2 linked regions of the Coturnix japonica genome follow. The protein of the gene in region 1 interacts with the protein of each later gene in a pairwise test. Links are inferred from orthologs where the notes say so. Each region holds a gene or a part of one and is shown on either strand. Other genes may lie near its edges.

Evidence for each region.
Region 2: the proteins of CEP76 (region 1) and NHLRC2 interact in binary tests that used the Homo sapiens proteins (3 or more experiments, as listed by UniProt). The two-hybrid records come from large-scale screens. The link is inferred for Coturnix japonica from reciprocal best matches to the Homo sapiens genes CEP76 and NHLRC2.

The regions. Positions count from the first base shown.
Region 1 is NC_029517.1:87,454,368-87,457,933, forward strand, and holds part of CEP76 (centrosomal protein of 76 kDa), read left to right. Parts: intron 1-655; coding exon 656-753; intron 754-1,191; coding exon 1,192-1,320; intron 1,321-2,587; coding exon 2,588-2,779; intron 2,780-3,566. UniProt on the Homo sapiens protein: Centrosomal protein involved in regulation of centriole duplication. Required to limit centriole duplication to once per cell cycle by preventing centriole reduplication.
Region 2 is NC_029521.1:24,468,780-24,472,345, reverse strand, and holds part of NHLRC2 (NHL repeat-containing protein 2), read right to left. Parts: intron 625-3,566; coding exon 169-624; intron 1-168. UniProt on the Homo sapiens protein: Required for normal embryonic development.

The sequences.
Region 1 (3,566 bases):
AATCAACTCATGAATTACTTTAAGGTATCAACTCATGAATTACTTTAAGGTATCCTTAAGAAGAGTTTATATAAAGGACTAATGGTCAGATTTTTGTCTTATCAAAGTGTTAAGAATGTGTGTTCCAGATCCTGTGCAATAGTGGTCCCTGTACCTGGGAGCCTCTGTTATCTCCAGGATGTGGGTAAACTATCAAAACAAACATAAATCAACAAATGCGTCTCCAGGAAAAATACCGTGTCAGTGTTCTCAAGTGTAAAATCTAGCTTGTCCTGTGTAGCAGTTATGATCCTGCTCTAACCACAGTGATCTGAGCAGTGAGTTGTACATTCAGTAACAATGGGCACTTGTACACTGTGGCTCTTCCAGTCTATTTGTAGGTGCCTATTCTAGCCCTTACAGAACAGCATTCATCTTGTATGTTCTGGTATCACCTGGAAAGAGGCCCTTAGGGCTCAGATCCAGTTACCAGCTTCTTTAGCCAGGTTATCATTCCTTTCATTCTTGAGTAGAATATTTCAGTGAAGATCTTTGTGTTGTATGTACTTAGAGAAGTTTATGGGGTTTTATTTTTATGATGGTATGATTAAAACTATTATTTGTTCTGTGTCAAATGAATTTGAAAGGACTGATAGGAATGTATTTTGGTTCAAAGGTACAGAATCAAAGGTTTCTGTCGGTGTTTTGAACATCAGACTTGAAATGTATCCACCACTTACTAAGACTCTGTCTCCAGAAATAACAAGCACTCAGGTAAGTAATATGTAGGGGGTGAGGGATGGCCTGTTCTTTTATCAGCAGGGGGGATGCACACTGTACAGTTATTTATGTAGATAAAGGGTCGGTTACTCTACTTGAAAAGCCAGTAAATGGTGGCCCAAAGGTGTTACAGATATTATTCCACACTTAGCAAGGTGAGTAGTCCTTCTATACAGATATGCGTCACTGAAGATGAACACTACTTCAGTCAAGCTTGATATATCAGCCTACAAACAAGAAATGTAAATTGAGTTTTACATTCATTGGATTTTCACTTTAAAATACTATTCTTTAGCATTGGTTGCATGCTGTCATATTAAACTTCATTTTTCATATGCAAGGATCATGTGCTAGTATGTATATTGATTACTTTTTGTTCTTGTTTGGAATTATTATATGTGTGAATGGTTGTGTGTATTTTCCTACCTGTAGTTTACTTTGGAACGTCAGAAGACAGCAGAAAAAGAACGTTTATTTCTTGTGTATGCTAAACAGTGGTGGAGAGAATACCTGCAGATCAGGCCTACACACAACTCAAGGCTGGTAAAGATTTTTGCACAGGTTTGTATATTTTACAAATACACCAATCTGTTCTTCAAGGTGTTTTTTTTAGTCTTAGCTGCATGTTTGAAGTTTGTGTATGTAGAATTTGTATAGATTTATGATGTGGTTAGATTCCATTCAGGGCTACATGTGATACAGTATGCTGACAATGAAGTTTTCAAGACTTGAACTATGTATACTGAAGCTGAAGAGTATGTTTCATAGAGAAAGGCTGCTCCAAGCACCCCTGGTGTAGGAGGTAGAAAAGCCATTTTAGTCTTTTCCTTGAATAAGTACAAATGGCAAATGCTTAAGTGATCTATACAAACTATTGCAGACAGGTTTTATACAGTAATAAGTAGTGGAGTTACTGGATATACTGGAGCAGATCCATATAATATTTGAGCACTCTGTGGTTAATAAAGTAATCTGGCTGGTGAATGTTGCATGGTAGTTACAGATGTGAACAAATCATTGGCTAGTAAGTTACTGTGTTGTAACTTACGTCACAATCACATCAGTTGTTCCTTGGTGACTGCCCCTCAGTAGTAGGAATGGTATGGGACTATAAGGACAGGCTGAGGGAGCTGGGCTTGTTCAGCCTGGAGAAAAGAAGGCTGCAGGGTGACCTCATTGCAGCCTTTCAGTACTTAAAGGGAGCCTACAAACAGGAGGAGAGTCAAGCCTTTGAAAGGGTAGATAACAGACAGCCAAGGGGAAATGGTTTCAAGTTGAGGGAGGGAAGATTTAGGCTGGATGTCAGGGGGAAGTTCTTTGAGAGTTGTGAGGTGCTGGAACAGGCTGCCCAGAGAGGCTGCTGATGCCCCATCCCTGGAGGTGTCCAAGGCCAGGTTGGATGGGGCCCTGGGCAACCTGGTCTACTATTAAATGGCAAGGTTGGTGGCCCTGCCTGTGGCAGGAGATTTGGAGATTCTTGATCCTTGAGGTCCCTTCCAACCTGGGCCATTCTGTGATGCTTTGTGTTTATCATGCTAATATATGAATTTAACTTGTAGAGCAGCAATTTTCCTGGCACAGATGATGAAATAACTTCCGGAAGCAATCCACACCTGCTGTTTGTCTTCAGGGAAGTGAGGTCTTCTCTTCTGGCTTCACCAGCTGTGTACGGGAGTAGTGTCAGCTTCCACGTAAGGGTGTGGTGCATTCATCTCACTGCTGAACACACCTGGTGCAGCCGGAATGGAAGCTTCACTGGAAACTAACAGTAGATAATGGATTGCTTTAGGAAGTTTTAATAGTACTATTATTTCTTTACCACGTTCAGGATGAAAATGGAGTAAACCGTCCGGTATGTTCATATATCAGACCACTTCGAGCGGGCCGGTTGCTAGACACACCTAGACAAGCAGCACGATTTGTCAGTGTCCTGGGTTATGAAAGAGCTCCTGTCATCGGAGGAGGTGGTGGCAAACAAGAGCAGTGGTGCACACTTCTTGCATTCGTATGTAGAAACAAGGTATGTAAAAACAGTCTTTGCATGACAACTTTTATAGTTGGAATGAAGTTAGTCATTTAAAACAGGTTGCAAAAGGTGGACTGAATCCATTTCAGAGAACTCATAAATGCAAATAGCTTTTATAAGATCAAATAGTGGCAGATGTTAAGTATTAGACAAGAGGGCTTTGGAGCTGACTTACTTTATTCAGTGCTGTTGCTTGAATCCTTTTTTCAATGAATCCATTGGACATCATGTGTAATGGTTCCTTAAGGGGGGAAAAATAAAAGCCATCATCACAAACATCCCCTTTTCCTCCTTCAACCCAGCTTATGTTGCTGAGCGCTATGACATGTGACATGGGACATCCTTTGGGTGGTCTGGATCAGCTGTTATCCTGTTTCTGTCCTCTCAGTTCCTTGTGTACCACAGCCCTTTATGGGCAAGGCAGCATGAAGAACTGAAATATCCTTGTGTCTGTGTAAACGCTGCTCTGCAGCACCTGCAATGGTGTGCTGTCAGCACTGTTCTCATAAAAAATCCAAAATGCAGCACCATATGAGCCTCTGTGAAGAACAATAACTCCATTGGAAGTTGTAAAAGCCTGATATACTTTGATATGGTGCATATTAAAAAGAGGAATTCAAGATTCTTAAGTTTGTAACCTTGAAGTCCTGACTTCTGGTGCATGTTTTAGGTAAATAGGAGGGAAACGCGACTTGTTAGATAACAACTGGAGAAATACTGCTTTCTTTTTCTAATGTTTTTAGCTATGCCTGATAGTCAAACCAACATACAAACATTTACT
Region 2 (3,566 bases), on another chromosome or scaffold:
TTCTCATTGATAGTACTACGCTTTATCCCTCCCATGTCCAGTAAAAGTGTTTTTCTAGGAAAAAAAACCGTTCTACCAATGCTTATGAATCACCAGGTCATAGGAGCACCACAGAATGTAGTCCACCCCCGAGCAAAAAAGTCCATAACAAAATTTACATAACCTTACCTCCAATAGTGTGTAGAATTTGCCCATTTTTCAGAGTGACCAAAATCCTGTGATGTCCAGTGTCAGCTATCACCAGCCTTTCTCCTGATTTATCTACTGTCACTTTGCCAGGAAACAGCAGAGGAGAAGGTGGGAGGGAGTCTTTGTACAGCTTTATTCCAATACTGTTATCTTTAATTTGTCCTCTCTCCTTGTAGAATTTCAGTGTTATTGAAGTAAATAAAAACAACTTCTCTTTGTGCCCTTCTCCAACAAGCGAAAACAGCATGTTTCCACGAGGTCCAAGAATGACCAGAGTTGGCCAACAGGACACTTCTAGTTCATGCCACAGTGTTGCGTCTGCATCGTTTACAACAGGGTGGCCAATATCGTACCTCAAAACTGCACTCTTAATGTTATCCAGAACTTTTTCGTTTGGAAACTTCGCTGAATGGACACCAATAATAACAAGGCCATCTGAAAGGAGAAGTGAATTATTACATTTAAATATATTTGTATCTCAGTTTAAAAAGTAAAAACAAAGCTCCAAAGTAACTAAGCGCATTTCAGAGTGAAGAGGGTTTAGCAAGTAAAAAGAGTAATATGTCACAAATAGTTCTTAATTTCTTAACCTCTGCATACTAAGGCAGAAAATGCTTTGAAAATAATCATGGGTAAGCTTCAGCAGTTCAAGTGGTATTTTGTTTTCTCAGGTATTCATGATACCTCTTTGGTGTCTGATTCCTTTACATAAATATGGTGTTTACAGAAAATTAATACTTTTCTATTGTAAACCAGGAATCGCAAATATAACACGGAACTTTAAAAAGTAAAGAAATGAAAGGTACAGGCTCTTAAAATCAAAACAGTACCCCGTGTTTTACATAGAGCTGGCAGCACCAGAAACCATGAAAAATATAAGAAGTGTATTAAATCAATTTAATCTTCAATTTTAATCCCTCTTCTTAATGCTTATAACAAAATACCTATATTTGGTTAATAATCATTAGTATAGAGATACTGCACTTGAATTCCCAGCATGAAGGTTCTCTGTAATGTCTTCATCAATGGCACTGATGATAGGTTTGAGTGCACCTTCAGCAAGTCTGCTGAGGCCAAGCTGAGTGGTGAAGCTGACAAATTAGAAGGAAACGATGCCATCCAGAGGGACCTTGACAAACTAATGAGGTTCAACATAGCGAAGTGCAGTGTTCTGCACTAGGGTTAGAGTAACCCCAGATATGTATGCTGACTAGGAGAAGCACACCTTGAGAGTAACCCTGTGCTGAAGGACCTGGGGGTGCTGGTGGATGAAAAACTGAACGTGAGCCAGCAGTGTGTGCTTGCAACTTGGAAAGCAAATGGTATCCTGGCCTGGAGCCCCTACGAAGACAGGCTGAGGGAACTGGGCTTGTTCAGCCTGGAGAAGAGAAGGCTGCAAGGAGACCTCACTGCCACCTTCTGGTATTTAAAAGTGGGCTGCAAAAAGGGGAGTCAACTTCTTATTTGCATAGACAGTGATAGGACAAGGGGGAATGGTTTTAAGCTCAAGGAGGGAAGGTTTAGATTGGATGTCAGTGGGAAGGAAGTTCTTCACAGAGAGAGTGGTGAGGTGCTGGCACAGGCTGCCCAGAGGCTGTGGATGCTCTGTCCCTGGAGGTGTTCAAGGCCATGTTGGATGGGGCCCCGGGTGGCCTGGTCTAGTATTAAATGTGGAGGTTGGTGGCCCTGCCTGTGGTGGGGGGTTGGAGATTCATGATCCTTGAGGTTCCTTCCAACCCAGGCTGTTCTGTGATTCTGTGATTTTATGAAGGTACTGAATAAACACAAAGTAATATAATTCAGCTTGTATACATGGAATAGACAGCATCAGCAATAAATTGATCAGAAAGCACGTAACTGAAATGCTTGTTTATTTTCCCACTTCAGTGAAACTCAAACAGAAAATCTACAGTTCAGAACTCATCAGCTTTTCTCTATGGGACAAAAAAACAAATATACTTCTACTCCATGTAAATAATTTCACCATCAGTCCCAAATTTTGCACCCCCCTACCTACTTAACAGAAAAAGAATGAGGAGCCTTCAGCAAAGTCACTTTTCAGTACCTCCTAGGAGGAGAAAACCTCAAATGCTCTAACAAACAACTCTGGATCTCTTTCAGTGCTTTCAATTATGCCTTCTAGCATAATCTCTCAGAAATTAAATGAGCAATGTACATGACATCAACAACATATTTTGTTTCATTTTGTGCTTAAAGAATGCTTAGCCATAAACATCATGTTGTTACAGTCAAAGTAACTTGTCAAATGTGGGATGATTTAGGTTTTGGGTTATTTTTATTTTAAAATTCAGAGATGCGAGTGAAATAAATGAGACTATCTGAACCATGACATTTGATTAAATTTCAGAACATTCCATTTCTAGAATCTGTTGCTCACAGCCACCATAAAAGAATGAGACACTGAATATCGTTCGTTACTGAAGCCAGGAAGATAATGACAGTAACAACCATGCAGTTGTAGAAAGCTGCAGCACAATAACTTTAAACCCAAACTGCTGATATAATTGAAATCTTAGACATTAACCCTATGCAGTGGAAAAACTAAGTCATATATTGAAGCAGTGATTGAGCACCTGGTAGGAAGGCAGAGCCAGCTCAGGGGAGCTCAGGTGCAAGCAATGCCCCTTAATAACTGGAAGGGGTGGAGCCAGGATCCACCCCTTCCCAGACCTTATTTAAAGGTTGGCCAGGGAGGCAATGCTTGCTGTAGACTATTGTGCACCTGAGGCCTTCTGAAGGTAAGTAAATTCCTTTTATTTCTGTGCCTGCTGCTACATTTGAGTAGAGCCTTATTTGCTACAGCCTGGGATCTTGCTGCTCTGCTGTTCCTATTGCACTTACCACTGTTATACCTGTATTGTATGTATACATATGTATATCTGTGTATTGAAAAATCACCTGTGTTAATGGATATTTCAAGCTTTTTATAATCACAGGTAACTGGTATCATTCTACTACTTTATTGAAAAAATGTTATCAAGTTTTATTTAACCTTATGTCTTAGGTTGAGTAGAGATTCTAAATTAAATAGGAAGGGGGAATACCCTTATGGTTGATATCCTTTTTAGCTAATTTTTCTAAATTAAAAAATATTTTGACAGCAACAAGTTCTTTCTTCTTTTTGCAGTTGTATCTATATAAATAATCAGCATTTATGATTTTTTATTGCTTGCATTCAAATATCTGTAGTGTTTCCTTCTAGTGTTTTTTTATGTCTACAGTGAATTCCTTATTTTTTATCATCAATACAAGTAATATCATAAAAGAGGTGAAAGCTTTGTGACCCTGCAGGTGTCACAGATGAAGAAATTATCCAACCTAAATCCAGTTCTGTTGATGTTTAACTTTAATATACA